2 linked regions of the Arabidopsis thaliana genome follow. The protein of the gene in region 2 interacts with the protein of the main gene of each other region in a pairwise test. Each region holds a gene or a part of one and is shown on either strand. Other genes may lie near its edges.

What was found.
Region 1: the proteins of ACS2 (region 2) and GRF3 come close enough for resonance energy transfer, tested with the Arabidopsis thaliana proteins (one study listed by BioGRID).

The regions. Positions count from the first base shown.
Region 1 is NC_003076.8:15,406,150-15,414,177, reverse strand, and holds GRF3 (general regulatory factor 3), read right to left. Parts: upstream 4,495-8,028; 5' UTR 4,367-4,494; exon of another isoform or gene 4,029-4,366; intron 3,929-4,028; 5' UTR 3,902-3,928; coding exon 3,428-3,901; intron 3,350-3,427; coding exon 3,227-3,349; intron 3,140-3,226; coding exon 3,023-3,139; coding exon of another isoform or gene 3,019-3,022; intron 2,947-3,018; coding exon 2,893-2,946; 3' UTR 2,577-2,892; downstream 1-2,576. Other genes in the region: AT5G38490 (B3 domain protein (DUF313)), read left to right, coding at 1,216-2,310; RAD23D (Rad23 UV excision repair protein family), read right to left, coding at 6,678-6,797, 6,905-6,983, 7,077-7,183, 7,263-7,310, 7,397-7,462, 7,556-7,708, 7,831-8,008. UniProt on the Arabidopsis thaliana protein: Is associated with a DNA binding complex that binds to the G box, a well-characterized cis-acting DNA regulatory element found in plant genes. Involved in the regulation of nutrient metabolism. Reciprocal negative transcription regulation of miR396.
Region 2 is NC_003070.9:172,531-181,280, reverse strand, and holds ACS2 (1-amino-cyclopropane-1-carboxylate synthase 2), read right to left. Parts: upstream 5,576-8,750; 5' UTR 5,420-5,575; coding exon 5,249-5,419; intron 5,141-5,248; exon of another isoform or gene 5,075-5,140; coding exon 4,943-5,074; intron 4,690-4,942; coding exon 4,529-4,689; intron 4,257-4,528; coding exon 3,230-4,256; 3' UTR 2,875-3,229; downstream 1-2,874. Other genes in the region: AT1G01490 (Heavy metal transport/detoxification superfamily protein), read left to right, coding at 429-880; LEA14 (Late embryogenesis abundant protein), read left to right, coding at 8,455-8,660, 8,737-8,750. UniProt on the Arabidopsis thaliana protein: 1-aminocyclopropane-1-carboxylate synthase (ACS) enzymes catalyze the conversion of S-adenosyl-L-methionine (SAM) into 1-aminocyclopropane-1-carboxylate (ACC), a direct precursor of ethylene.

The sequences.
Region 1 (8,028 bases), on a different chromosome or scaffold from region 2:
CCCACACTTGTAACCATAAAGAATAACTATGACACTGTTTAATGACTGCGAATGCATGATAAGAGTGTGTGTGCAAGGCACGTGAGGAAACAGAGGGAAGCTTGTGAAATAAGCAAGTATCAGAGGCATCTATAAATATGAGGAGCGGTTACAGAGCAAGGCATGTTGATTCATTCGCTATGAGACTGTGAAGGGTGCGATTATAATCTGAGGGATGTGAGCGAAGATTCTAATTTCATTTGTTCTTGTTGATTCATTGTTCTTTGTTGTTCATTGTTACAATTGTGTGATTTGATTGTGGATAAGCAATAATATGAGAGATTGAGTATTCCAAAATGTGTATTTTACCAATTCATTGTTCTTTGTTGTTCATTCGTAGTTTACCAAATAAGAAATTACCAGAAATTTCATTTTGGAAGATTTGCAGAAATTTTGTAATTACCGAGAGATGTGGGGTGCATTAACAAATAACGAAATAACTGAGGCAATTTCGTTATTATTCGAGGGAAAAAATCGTAATTATCTATAGTTTTAGGTCCAATTCGTAATTACTAAAGGATGTGGGGCAATTTCGTAGTTACCTCAAATTGAGAAAACTATTTGAATTTTCTCCCCATATTTGGTTTTGCATCAACTATTTTTATGCAATTTTGTTGAAATGATTATGTACGTACATCCAATAAAATTCAAAAAACATAAAAATTATTCAAGGAATTGTTTTTTTTTTTTTTTTGATGATAAATGGATACTCGAAACTATTTTCGATTCAATCGACAACAATATTGGTTTTGTTTTTCTAAAGATCTGAATTTTTTTGAGACTCCACTGTTTTCTGCATTTTATTTAATTTATATCAAAGTCGGCAAGTGCCCAAAAAATATAATAATACATCAAATACAAAAAAGTGAAGCAAAGCTATTGAAATTTGAAAGGAAAGGAAACTTCCTAAAAATTCACTATCTCTCACACTTGTGAAAAAGGAAACACTTGATCACAACGGCTATAATTAGTTACTAATGACAGTAATTAAACAACTAAACTCAATGGAGAAATAGGAAAACAAAGAAACCTGAAACCCTATTGTAAAGTATATATAAGGCAAGAGAAGGTACTTCTTTTCTAATCGTCGATCAGTTTCTCGTCTCTCTATATACAAGTTTCTTGTTCCTCACGTCGTCGCTCTCAGAAACTTTCCAGTCTTTCGATTCAATCACGATGAGTAGTATTATGTATCACGATAATCATCTCACGGATTCGGGGAAGAATATGTCGTCGGGTTTAAGTTTACTGGCGTATGTGACGGTTATGGTTGCGGAGGAAGAAGAACAACGTAGTCGTCTTCTTGCAGAGAAACGAGAAGAATCCAAGTGCAAGATGAGTTTCTTCTATCTTTTCCCGAGGAAAATCAAATCGTCTTTGGCGAAGAGAAGATACACACAACAAAACCCTAATGGGGCTTCTACTTGTTCGTCATCGCTTCCCGATCTTAACCTAATCCCTACTGATTTTGAGACAGACAACCTACAAAACCCTTGTTTTGATGAACCTATGGTGTGTGATGAAGAACAACGTTTAAAGAAAGGTAAATCCAAGATTGTCTACGATGAAGATTATGATGACGAGAGTGAAAAGAAACTCTTTGATAATCTTAATGGAGCTTCTACTTCTTCTTCATCGCTCCTGAACCTTCCTTGTCTTGAACCTTCGACAGAGACAAAAGACGTACCAAACCCTAATTACCAATCTTCGTCTCCGTCTTCATGCCTAACAGGGAAGACAAACCGCAAGAGGCGTGCCGTGGAGCAGAGGAAGAGTGGTAAAGTCAAGAAAGTTAAGGTTTCTCCTTTGCCAAGGTTGTGTACAGAGATGCCTGAGTGGATTTTCCAAGTGATGAGATACATGAACGCTGATGCTGAAACCCCGAGGCTGATATTTGAGAGGACTCTGTTTAAGAGTGATGTCAACTCAAACCTTAGTCGTCTCTTAATGCCTTTCCAGAAGCTAATCAGAAACGATTTCCTGACTCCTGCGGAGTGTAGAGCTATGCAGAAAGACGAAGACAATGATGAAGAAGACGACGAGAATATTGGTGTGGGAACGGTTCTTGTGAACCAAAGATTTCAAAAGTGGGGTTTGCGTTTCAAGATATGGGCGATGGAGAAGGACTCTGGACATGGAACATTGAATTACACTTTGAATTGGGGTTGGAATGATGTCGTCAAAAGTAGCAGCTTAAAAGTCGGCGACAAGATCAGCCTTTGGACTTTCAGGTGCCGTGGAGTCCTCTGCTTTGCACTTGACACAGAGTAGCTCTTCACTTGTTCACTAGCTTATTCAGTGATTTTGAGTTTCAGTAACTTATTGGAAGTGTTAATTAACAAGATTAGGATTTTGGTGTGGTTCTCTCCTTTATTAGTAGTAACTTGTCTGTCTCCTATGTTATCTGAGATCTTTTACCATTGTTTGAAATGAAATATTTTGTTATAAATATGGTTTCTTGTTTTCTCTACTTTAGTTACCTTTTATTTCTTGTAATATATTATATCAAAGTATAATGTCATGGAAGTGATCCATTTGCAGCAAGTGTTTTCGTACATTAATTAATCAATTTGAGAAAGTTATCACACTTTTTTAGTTGATCAAATCAATAACCAAAAAAATAGAAAATAAAGACAACTACCATATCAGAAATAACCAAGTTTTGATTTCATTAGAAAGGAGAATAGGAAATATTGAGGAAGCTAAAGGAGGAATGATAAATCGCAAGTAGTTTCAAAACAAACAAACAACAATAAAACTGTGTCTCTTATAAGAATCCTGAGCTATCCCTCACTCAGATTATCACATGAAAGTTTTCTACCATTATAAAATGACTCTTCCTCTTCTTCGGGTTTACTCGGCACCATCGGGCTTTGATGCCTCCTTAATCTCATCTCCTGCTTCGTCCTATTCACCAAAAAAGAAACCATCATGTCAACAACATAACTTAGTGATCAACGTATATTGTGTTGTTAATACTTACAGTCATATCTGAAGTCCAGAGAGTGAGATTGTCTCTAAGAAGCTGCATAATCAGTGTACTGTCCTTGTATGATTCCTCACCCAATGTATCTAACTCAGCGATTGCATCATCAAACGCCTGCACAAACCCAAAATAGCTGTTTCATTCACTGAGATAATAATAACACACGAAGCAAAAAGTGAAAATCAGGTGTACTACACAAACCTGCTTTGCGAGGCTGCAAGCACGATCAGGCGAGTTGAGGATTTCATAGTAAAACACAGAGAAGTTGAGTGCAAGACCAAGCCTTATCGGGTGAGTAGGAGCTAACTCAGCAGTGGCAATGTCCTGCATTATCACAACAACAAAATCAATCATACCCACAAAAGAAAACAACATTCAAAAACGTTGTAAAGAATGACTTACGGAAGCAGACTTGTAAGCAACCAAAGTGCTTTCAGCAGCTTCTTTCCTTTCAGCACCAGCCTTAAACTCAGCAAGATACCTATGATAATCACCCTTCATCTTAAGATAAAACACTTTAGATTCAGCTGGTGAAGCAGAAGGAATAAGATGAGCTTCAAGAACATTCAAAATCCCATCACAGATTTTGCTAAGCTCGGATTCAATCTTTCCTCTGTAATCCTTGATAATAGCAACATGATCTTCGTTCCCTTTGCTCTCTTCTTTCTGCTCAATCGAAGAAATGATTCTCCACGAAGCTCTTCTCGCTCCAATCACGTTCTTGTAAGCAACAGAGAGAAGATTCCTCTCTTCAACTGAAAGTTCCTCAACATCAACAGTTTTCGCAACTTTCTCCATGAATTCAACCATTTCTTCGTAACGTTCAGCTTGTTCGGCTAATTTCGCCATGTAAACATTCTCTTCCCTTGTCGACATCTTCGATTCAACAATCTAGAGCAAATCCTACAAAATCAGAACCCAAAACATACACACATTGATACATTTCTTCACCGATTAAGAACATAGAGAAAATAGGCATAAACAAATGAGTCGAAACAATAACCTAATCATCTAGATTAAGAACACAATGAATCTTCTTCATAGGTGACGAATCTAGAGAAAATTCTTCAACGCGAATCCGAAGTAAGATCTACATACTCGTCTATGTTCTTCACGGATAACGAATCTAGAGCAAAATCGTTCAAAAGCAGAAACAAAACCGAAACCTAAATTTTAACATCCTACACACAAATCGGATTTAGATATCAAACACACTGAATCAGTGATAAGAACAGAGAATCGATGAGATCGAGATCTCCAGAAACATACAATCAAAGATCAGATCTACACGTAGAAGAAGAAACTACGAAACGAACGATGATTAGAGAGAGAGAGATTTACCTTTCTTTTTTTTCGATTGAAGAGAAGATCTGATTCGAATTTTGCAAGTGGTTTGAAAAAATGGAATAAGAAGAGACTGATGAAGATACAATGAGAAATGGAATGATAAATAAATAAAAACTGTTTTCGAGGCGTAGAGTTAAGAGATCCAATGGAAGGTTGACAAGTGTTGGATGCTGAAGATATGACTGATGCATTGAATCTGACACGTGTGTAGCCATGCTAGTGTTGAGATCTGTTATTTGAAATCTGATAAATGGGCCACTGGGCCCAACGGGTATTACAGTATTACAACTTGAGATAACTATATGATGTACAGGACGGTATTATGGGCCTTTAGATTTAAGTTAAATCTATAATTGATCTTAAACAGACTTTTTACATTGTGTATATTTAGAGCGGTGTATTCAATCTAATAATTTATGTAAAATTTATAAATTTTATGTTATTTAATTATGGATTTTAAATTTTTAAATGAAATTGAGTGTTATTAAATTAAAAATTTAAAAATCAACCTTTTTACTGTTACTGAAAATAGTTAGTGGATTTGATTCTTATTAATTTTGAAGGATTTGAAAGGATTTGAAAAGACTTCTTTAGTTAAAAATACAGAAATCTAAATCTCATAGTTTTAGATAGAATTTGAAAAGACTTTACAGTAAATCACATCAACTTACCTAAAATCATCAAAATTATATAAAAACTCACTTATATCTTACCAAAAAATATGTTCTTTAATAATTCAGTACCTATATTTGTCCTAGGAAAGCAAATTCTAGATTAGAAAAATAAATTGAATGATGTATATATCCAATTTAAACTCATACTTTAGCAAAAAAAACATCTCATGTAGCACATTAGCTAAATTTTCTTTAAAAATCAGCATTTTCAGGTTCAAATTCCCGTAGCGGAAAATCTTTTTTTTTTAAATTTAATATATATTTATTTTATATCCCGCTAAGTTTCTTTTTAAATTTTTTTTGGTTTTAAAATAAATAAATTGATCTATATATCCAATTTAAATTCATACCTTAGCAAAAACATATGCACTAGCACATTAGCTAAAATGTTTTTTTGAAAATAAGCATGTCCAGATTCAAATTCCGGCAGATGATTTTTTTTAAAAACAATCTAATATATATTTTCATTTTAACAGAAAATCTGTTGGATTTTTTTTTGATAATCAAAATTTTTGAAAAATCTTTTGGTTCTAAAAATAAATAAATTGTTGAAATTATTTAATTTAATGAAGGCTCCTATCACAACACAAACTGTCATACCTCTTGAAATCCAAGATTAGCAGAGTGGATACGGCATTGTTAAAGCACTGAACGCTATGGAGGCCTCGTCCTTATTTACACAAAACAGTTAGCGAAAAATTCCACTAAGTATTGAAAAGAATTTACCTGAAGTACAACCACACTAGAAGAAAAACTGAGAAGTCTCCTCACCACAAAACTTGTAGATCGAACGAGCTTCCGTGCCACTTTGATCATCAAATGTAGGGTTATCGAATGAGTTTTCTGACCATGGGATGTCCACGTCCAAATAATAATGGTTGGGTTTTGGTGAAGCCCAAAATTAAAGTGTTTAAAATGGATTACAAACCATATAAGCTCGCTAGTAAATGGGCAAAATTATTTAGACATAATTTGTGCAGTAATAATTAAAAGCTAGGGTTTAATTATTTAGGGTAAAATTTTAAGATTTCTCATTTCTCTCTCGATTTGAGACAATTTCAGAGACGATTATGACAGATCTCAAAGGCTCACTGGTTCCACCATTATAAGTTCTTCATGAGCAACTTATATGTCTTTATGTTTGTGTTGATGTGTTAATTGATGATGGGTTTTTGTTGATATATTAATTGATGGGTTTGTGTTAATTCAAATGTGCAATAATTGATATTGCATAGCTTGAGGCTATGAGAAAACAATGTAAGCGCCAATAATTGGATCTGAATAGCGGTTTCGTTTTAGGCCAGATCTGTTAAACCAGATTCGACATACCATTCCTAACTCGAGATGAGTCATATAGAACCAAAATATCCACTTTTAATCTTAGCTAATATTGGTGCATCTGAGACCTAAAGAGAGGAAGGATTCAAAGGCTAATAATATGATAAAAGAGGAGCATCTTCAAACCAGATAAACTATGATAGTTTTAATAGTAACATAAACACATCAACTCCCATGAACATAAACATGAAACTGTCAAATGGCATTGGAGAAGAGATTATCATATTAAAAAGAAGAAGAAAAAGAAACAGAAAGATGGTCTGAGTTTAGAGGGAGGAATGGATTTGCTCTGTTTATTGATCTTCAAACTCATGCATGTGATCTAGAAGGTAATTAGCTGCAAGTTCTTCATTCTTGTTACACGCAAAGAACACTTCCAAGACCATCGCACGATCAAACCCCATCCCTTCAAGCTAAACCAAAACAAACAACAGCAAAATCAAATTTCAATACAAGCCATATATTTTGAGGAACCAGAGCATCTAGTAAAGGTACAAATGTAAAGATCATAGGAACAAACCCGTTCAATGGCTTCACGCTCTTCAGGTGTAACGGTAACAGCTTGTGGCATTGCTGCTTCCAACTGTTCCATAACATTCCTGGTGGCATCGAATGAAATGTCAGATTACATGCTTTATTGAGAAAAAAGAATAAAATGAAAACGTAAAGGAGAATCATGATATTAAACCCACTCTTCTCCCTCGACAGGTTCGTTTATCAAGCGTAGGAAGTCAGCCTGGTGCTCTTGAATTAGTCGCACAAGCTGGGGGTTTTGTTTACCGAGCTCCTGAAGCATAGGCTGCAAAACGAAACAGTATAAGTGGGAAATCAATATCATATAACCTACCAAATAAAGAATAAGAGGTTAAAAATTTTACCTGTAGAATTTGTGGGTTTGCTTGTACCATAGCTCGCAAGGCTTGGAACTATGAAAAGGCAAAAGAATTGCAAATGACATAAGAGGAGAGAAATGAAGATTTCCGTTCTCGAATGGAAAAGAAATTGAAAATACCTGTTGACTGTTACGCAGGAAATCAAGATTACCAGCTCCAGCACCAGCATCTGCAGCGGGCATGCCCTGGATAGAGACAGATAAGAGTGGATGTCAATAAAACAAATTCACAAGGGAAAACGAGCAAATGAAATCGGTTCACCAGTTTAAAAACCCTACCTGGGGGAACAGGTTTAATGGATTTGCGTTTGGACCACCAGTTGCAGCTGCTGGAGCTGCTGCTTGTTGGGGCTGTGCTAGAGGATTGGCTGCCTGTTCCCCAGTAGCTGGGGCTTGAGCAACTGGTGGGATTTCAGCTTGAGCAGGGATACCCTGAAATGTATCAACCAAAAGTTCAAGAGCAAATGTTGCTTAAATTCTGGCAAACCGCAAATCAAAGGTAGATACAATATATCAAAGAAAAACGTAAAATCAAGAAGTGGAATGAATCATACCGAGTACAGGTATTCAACAGCTCTTTCAGGATTGTTGAACGCAGCTCTCAGAGCACGAACAACAGTGTCACGGTCCCAACTACCTCCACCCATATCAAGAATTTGCTGAACAGTGGACTCTAAAGTAGTTCCAGCAACAAGGTTTGATGCTGCTTGACCATACACATCTGTCTGAACCCTGTTTCAACCAAGAAAGTG
Region 2 (8,750 bases):
GCTTAGTTCTCACTTCTAAACCTCACCTCTATATAAATGGTTTCCGGTCCGATTTAGTCTCCGATTTGGTAGGTAGGTGTAAACAGAGGGAAAAAAATGTGAAAAATTTCTTTAATGTTGATGAACAATCACGAGCTGTTCTGACAGAAGTGTCTCTCTTTTTCAATAGTGACAGTACGGTAAAAAATATTGCTCCAAATATTTCAATTATTGTTTATTTGTGAAATTCATTGTTTTATTTCTTAGAATAAAATCAAATCTAGGCCACTATTGCTTCTTTGAAATACGTGCCCATCAGTTGATAAATCATATGGTGTCAACAAAATCAACAAGCAAATAAGTCAAAGATTGTTTTTTTTGTTTGATTCAAACAAAGCGTTTTACTTTCCTTATTGGTGAATTACAAGTTGCATCTTAATTTTTTTTAGGAATCGATTCCATTGCAATGGACATGAAGGAGAAGAAATTGACGGTTATTGGAACCGTGGATCCGGTAAATGTAGTAAGTAAGCTAAGAAAGTATTGGCCGATGACGGATATCGTACTAGTGGGACCTGCGAAAGAGCCGGAAAAGGAGAAGAAGGAGGAGCCGAAGAAGGAAGGTGGTGGCGAGCCGCCAAAGAAAGAAGGAGAAGCTCCAAAAGAAGAAGGGAAAAAGGAAGGAGAAGCACCGAAGAAGGAAGAAGAGAAGAAAGAAGGTGGCGATAAGAAGGAAGGAGAGAAGAAAGATCAACCACAAGCGCAGCCGCAACCAGTTGTGCCGCCACCTGATCATGTGTTGGAACTTGTAAAGGCGTATAAAGCATATAATCCTCACCTAACAACGTATTACTACGCCCAAAGCATCGAAGAAAACCCTAATGCTTGCGTTATATGTTGAAATATTTATAATGTGATATATTTTGGGGAAAAGATGGACCGATCTATATATAGTCATGAGGATGAAGAATAAGAAACAAAGGATATATCTTAGACTTCGGATGGGATCGGATATGTTTTTGTCTCCTCGATAATGCGGGGAAGTTTTATTTCCTTAAATCGATTTCGATGATATGTTTTGTGTATATATCGTCGATAGTACTAGAATTTTATTTTTTCACTTTGAAGGTAACTTTCTGTAAATAATGGTGTTATATATATGCGTTGGTCGTGTAACTTTTTAAAGCTTGATACTTCTTCGGAAGCCAATGGAATGGCGAAATTGCAAAATAGTTTTGCGAACAATAGTTCTGCAATGTTTTTATTCGATTTTGCTATTTCATAACCTGGTCATCTTCTTCTTAAGGTTATGTATATTTCATAACTATGTTATTGTCAAAGTTTTTTCATAATCTGGTCAATATATATATTTTTAAATGTATGTGGGTGCTAGCTTAGGTGAATAAATGTTGTTGGGCGGCTTATTAACATTTCAGCTGTAAACTTGATAATTTATCTTTACTTCTGTTTTGCGCGAAGCGAAAGGGCATGGCCTTCATGATCATCTGATGAGTCACTTTTAGAAATTTTGTAAGAGGAGAAGGTAAAGCGTTTTTAATTGTTCTAATTTTTATTTAGTTTCTTCACAAATGTACCTGTATTTCAGGGGATAATAGCATAAAGTGAAGTTCTAAATTTATTCTAAACAAAAAAAATAAAAAATCTAGAAACCACTTAAGAATAAAAATGCCCGTATCTCGGCCACATACAAACTTCTTTCTTTTTCGACACCAAAAGATTATTGAAAATATATCTTTTTTTTTGTTAAAAGATATATTACTAAAAATAGTCTTCACGTAACCAAGTGCATTGTAAATGTCATAGATCAAGTTGTGGCTCAAACCAAATGCAAATGTCAAAAACATTTTGGTAGGTAGCCACCTAAAAGGAGCATGTGAAAACTTAATTTGGTATTTCATCATTTTCAATTTATGCCGTATTGAATTATTTAGAGTCAAAACAAAATCCAAGACAGAAAAAAGTTCCCTTGAATATTAAAAAGAGGATTCACTATATATATATAAAAAAAAACTTGCCCATGTCATTTTTTCTACCAAACAAAATAAATATATAACTTGATCATGTTTCGTAACCTACTGTTGATGATCATGAATTGGTTGTGACTTGTGACTGATGATGACGACGATAATGTCGATGATTATAATTAGACAGAGATATCTATATATTATCCAGATACATATTATTCTGTGTGAAAAGGATCAAACCGTTGTTTCCAAGTATCAAATTTGATTTTTGTCTTATATATATATATTTTTGTTCGTGTGTGTAGTATCAATATCAGCTAAGAGGCGGCCCAAAGCACGCCTTACCATCAGCACTTAATTACCTAACAAAGTCGTAGTAGCATATAATATATGTAACAAATTTATCAATCTGAGATCTGTAAATTTTATCAAATAATAGCTAATGGTTTACCAAAAGAGGACCAAAAATAAATACTATAACATTCAAGCTGACGGTTTATCATTAACAAAGAAAAAGGGGAAAGAAAGCTGACGATTATTGAATAATTGATGGAGACGTCATCATGTTTGATAGCTGATTATTCTAAGCAAATTTGTCACTTTGTAACAAAATAATAAGTTGAATTTAATCATATTTGGTGCAGCTGAAATGCTGATGAATCTTTCATCACCCACAATATGATAGGCTAAGGCAAATTCCAAGATATAAAACTTAACATGCATTTATTGATTATATCTCTGTATAATCGGATGTTCAATTTAGTACATATAATGATTATTTTAGAAAAAGGATAGGCATGTTGGCATGCTCGTGTGACGTATTGGGCGAACAAGAAAATGCGGTTCTAGAAAAAATCGAATAAATTAGGTTAACAAATCCTCCATTACTCACAAAACATTATCAACCTCCCCAACTAATAAACTCTGGTGATCCTTATCAAAAGACAATGTTTCATTTATTACACACAAAAACATATAAGAAAAGCATATATGCTACACACCAGCACCACTAGGACAATCCATCGATTAAAATCCTAAGCGGAAAAAAGAAACAGAATCAAACACATAAAATCTTAAAAGTTACCATTTGACCCCAGGAAAAAAGCTGGCCGTCAAAAACAACCCTAATGTCGAAATTGAATTATTCCAATCTTACAATGAAAGAAAAAACATTTACTTAATCACTTACTAATTTAAGATTAATTAACACGGAGTGAAACGCGGACGAGTTAATCCAATCTCTCAGACGTTATGCCTTAAGATTTTCATGCTCGGAGAAGAGGTGAGTGTGGTGACATTATCCCTGGAGACGAGAGACCATCCTCGTAAAGTCGTCGGAAACTTAGTCGAAGATTGGTCTGCGTCCATTTCAGCTTTTTAGCACTCTTGTTCTGGATTACCTGATCATTTTCAGATGCTTTCTCGACGATCTTGTTCTTGTTCTTAGACACGAAATCTTGGATCCGTCCAAGCGCCACATGGAGAGTATCATCGTCCATGTTGGCAAAGCAAATCCTAAACCATCCAGGTTCCGTGCAACGGAAGGAAGAGCCAGGAGACACATTGAGCTTAACTCTATCGATGATTATATGCCAAAGCTCGATCTCAGATTCAAACGAGTTACGATCTCTCAGTAGATGTCTCAAATCCATCCACGCAAATAAACCAGCGTTGCTTGTCAAACAAGCAATATCTGCTTTCTTGATCCCCGTGGTAAAAACTTTATGCCTTATCCCCAACCTTCTCGAGCTTTCCATTAGAAAATTATCCACAAACTGATCATCGGACAACATCGAAGCAAGCATGAGTTGTGTCTGAGACGAAACAAGTCCGAAACTTGACATTTTTCTTGCGCAAGACACGACCGAGTCATTGAAAGAATAGACTATCCCGACTCTAAAACCAGGAAGTCCCATATCTTTAGAAAGACTATAGACAATGTGAATCAAGTCAACGTTGACTTCGGAGATGTCCACATCATTGACCACCTCAGCAACGCTCACGAAATCTCCTCCGGCGAAGACTGTGGCGGCGTAGATCTCGTCGACGACTAGGTGAATGTTCTTCCTCGTGACAAACCGGACCAAGTTCGTGAGTGTGTCCTTATCCAACATTGTACCGAGTGGATTTGATGGGTTGGTCAAAATCAGACCTTTGACTTTTTTATTGGACTCTTGGGCTTTTTTATAAGCCCATTCCGCGGCGTCAACGGTTAATTTGAAATTGTCGGAGCTTGAACAAGGAACCGGGATTATCTCGACACCTGTCCGCCACCTCAAGTCTCTATCAAATCTGCGGAAAGGATTAAATCATTAATTATCACACGTATGAGAGCTTGTCGTTCAATTAAAACCGCTATTGAATGGATATATCGTACACGTGTGATAAAGTTTGGCAAAAGAGTCAAAACTTGATACTAATAACTCATTTCGATTTAGAATTTGTTAACCCCAAAAAAGTATGTGAAAGTAACATTAATGAAATCTGTCCTAACCATTATCCATTATCATATACTAGTACTATTTTCTCTTAAAAATGTGATTAATGTTTTTAACAATGCTTACGCGGCATAGTACGGGGAGGGAATGAGGAAAACGTCGCCGGGATCCGCAAGGCAGAACATGATTGTTTCATTGGCTCCGGTGGCTCCTCCGCTCATAACCACCCTCTCCGGATCAAAAGTCACTCTTCCACCTCTAGCTTTTCCCATGAAATGTGCAATTGCCTTCAATTCCAAAATTTATATTAGGGATAAGTTTATAAAATAAGTTACTAATTAAATGCAACACGAATCTTTAACAAAAAAAAAAAAAAAAAAAAAAAAAAAAAAAAAAAAACCACGACTGAATTTGTTTTTCTTATGCAGATCATATCAACTGATTGTTTAGAGGTGTTATTAACTTTCCATGTAAAAATTGTTTTTCTAATATGTCCGTAGCTGATTACAAGATATCTGAATAATGAATGATTTATAGTACCTGTCTAAACTTCTTAAGACCATGGTAGTCTTGGAAATTAGCGATGTCGCTAAACTGATGAATACCTTCAAGGGTGCAAATAGAAGCTTCTGGGTTCTCTTTGACCCAATCTTTGATCAAATCTAAGCAAAGCTGTAAGAAGTTTAGAAAAATGTGTTATTAAGTATTTAACTTGACTTGAAAAGAAGAAAAAAAGGTATTAGCTTGATGTGTATACGTGTTCATATATAATAGCTAATAGATGGAAGTTCATGCACAACGACAACAACATATAACATGATTTATTGGATTATATATAATCTGTACCTGATTCTCTGCAAGACCCATTTGGATGATCCCATGGGGGTTACGGGAAAGATGAAAAGGATCTTTGTCGTAAGCTTTCCATCCATCAAAGTACTCTGAGTTCTCTCCGTGTTGATTGTTAGTCGCTATCTTCGACAAAACTGCACCTTTATTTTTTCCCGGAAGACCCATTTGCTGTGTCAATTCTCACTTCTTTGTAGCTGTTTTTTTTTTTTTTTGGGGGTATCGATATTGATCTTATGACAAGTTTTTGTGGTGTGTACTAATTAACGTATGAGTTATTTGCTTTTATATAGGAGTTGAAACAGAAACCTTGAGGAGACCAAATAAAGTTGATGTGGGGTCCAAAATAAAAGGAGTTAGGATTTGATGAAACAAGTGAAAAGTAACAAGCGAACCAAGGAAAAAATCTCCATCCAAAACAATATTTCAAAACGTACTTTTGTTACGATTGAATTACCATTTGGGAAGGGAATTTCTAATTAAAAAAAAAAAAAAAAAATTAAGATGGTTGTGTTTTGCTAGCATCAATCTCCCTTGTATTAAACATATCGTATCCGAATTTGGTAGATTAAGATGAATAAATTGGTCTTACTCCAATAGTTTCGCATTGATTTCCGTTTCAGTATTAAAATCCATTGGGATTTATTGGTGGAAACGGGAAAATCATGTGTATTTTATTTGAACCCAAGGCTATTTCTAAGCAACTTCTTATGAAAAATGTTGACCTTAAACTACTTAGTCATGCAAAAAAAAAAAGAAGGTTGGGGATGTGGAGAATATTATTTGATTGAATTCAAATAAAAAGGAAGAAAGTTATGAGATAAAATGTATCAGATTATTCAAAAGAATAGACCAATTTGCAACATTGTAATTTGGTTTAATAAAACATTTGGTATGTTGTAGTCTGCACATGTATAAACGTACGTCCTCCACATAATTCCAAAATTTGACTGGCGTTAAGAAATATCTAATCTAGTCATTGATAAACTACTACTGAATATTCATTTGAGTGTTGAGGAATTTGATTTCAAAATTTCCGTCTTACGAAAAATAAATTTTTTGTTTGTATAACCACAACAATTGTTAGTAGATCATATATGAATTGTAATGAAAAATTATATTAGTGACTAGTGAGAGTTAGTTATTTATATCTTGATTTTTTTTTGTAGTTGGTGGGTTTGGACTCTTTGGTCAAGTCAATCACATGCTCTACGTGATTTTACTTGCAGTTCACGCCGGAAACTCTCACGCGTCGACCACGTGACTAGACCTAGTTCATAATTTTTATCGTCTGAATGTCAAAAACTCAAATCCTCCTTTTTATAACCGTTTTCTTTGAAAACAAGGTATTTTCTTAATCTTGTTTCATGTCTTAAGACTAAAGATATTAAAATCTGATTTTGGCTCTACTTATACTAATGTCGTATTACAATAACTAAAGTCTCAAACAATATTCTTTAAGCACGCATTGCTGGAAAAATTAATTACAGGGGGGACATAAGATCTCAATAATATAGACTGAAGATATCAACTTTTGGCTATTTGGAGTCGTTACATCTACACTTTCAAACAAAACCAACGAACCCATTGTTTTTTGGGATCCTACGAATCCCTTGTGTAAACAATAATTAAAGACAGTCCTAAACTAATATTCTCTTATCAAGTTTGGAAACATTGTAGCTTTGTGAATATATTATTTTGTCTAAGAAGAACTTTTTGTTTGTAAATAGTTTTTTTTTTTGGATGTGTTTCTCATGAAATGCAGGTAAGAAACATCTAATGAATTAGAAATAGATTATGAATAAAAGAAAATAATTTGTAAAAGAAACACCGAACAAGGAGTTCGTATTCGTATACTAATTGGCCCGCCAACTACCAACACCGACATATGTGCTTTCGGCAGTTTTGATATCATTCCAAAATTTCAATTATTATTTATCAAATTTATTTTCTTGGTAAAAGTTTAATTAATTTCAATTATTTGAATGTCTTAATTCACTGATTACAAATTATATATGTAATATATACATAACAATTTCGTTCGTGGAGTGTTATTATACTCCTTAAGCGAATCTGTATATTTTAAATAAAATTTTGATTTATGCACACGTACATGTTCAATTGAAACGTTTTCCCTAACTATAGATGCCAATAAATAATAAGTTGATTTTTAAAATGTACAAAACAAAAGGTACCGTTTTGTAAAATTTTGCAACCAAAAAGTACAATCGGCCGTTGAAAATCGTGGAACCAAACACTAATTAAAGAGAAGTGTGAATATAATCTAGTGTTTGCGGATTTATATTATAAAATTTGTGTATCACTAAAATGTCAAAGCATGCTTTGACTGGTCAATAAGTCAAATTAACTAACAAACCATGCGAGGCGTAGGTTTGACTTCTTAACATAAATGCTGACTCAGTTTTTCCATTCCGCAGCTGTCGACTAATTGGACACGCTTCTTCCAATCCCTTTCCACTAATCATCCATCAACACGTGACATGCCTACAGTGCACGACTTCACAGTGATCATGTCAAAGTTTTGTTTTTAAGAGAAGAAGATTCACGACTTCACAGTGATCATAGTCCAGTTACAAATTTGAATGGGCTTATGGCCTGTGGCCCATTTAAGTTTGACCTTAATATCCATCAGAAACCCATACCAATACGGGTCATAAGTGCATTGTCCATATAGTGTACCGCAATGCATGGGAGTACTACTACATTCCACCGACGTGCATATGGGGGGACATGGTCGGTCCATTAATCCCTTGCGCATCTTATTCCTTACGCGAATACTTTTCCCTCTTTTAGTTTTGTATAATACTTTCCATTTTTTTGGTATTAAATTTATCGTGTGACTATCTAAAAAGGTATTTAATTATCTAGTTTAGCTATAACTGCAAACAAAATATCTATTTTCATGAATGATATATTTTTGAAATAAAATATTGTTGTCATGTAACGAAAAAATCAAAAATCAAGCAGAAGACACGTATAACCCACGCTTTCACTCTCACTCGTGGAAAACCCTCACACGTACACAAACCATTATAAAATTTAATCCATTTACATCGACCGACTTCATAAGAACATCGTAATCCCATCCGTTTATATATATATTCCAAGTTAAACTTCATATCATACACACAAACCTAAAACACCGAAACAAAAACAAAGAGATTTAAACAAGAAGAGTTATTATGGCGAGCTTGCTAGATAAAGCCAAGGACTTCGTGGCGGATAAACTCACCGCGATCCCTAAACCGGAGGGTTCAGTTACGGACGTTGACCTCAAAGACGTGAACCGTGACTCAGTTGAGTACTTGGCCAAAGTCTCTGTCACCAATCCTTACAGTCATTCGATTCCGATCTGTGAGATCAGTTTCACTTTCCACAGCGCCGGCAGGTAAAACCTACTAACTCCGTCGTTTGGTTCTTTGTTAGATTTTGTAAACAACAGAGATCTAATTATTTGTAAACAGGGAGATTGGAAAGG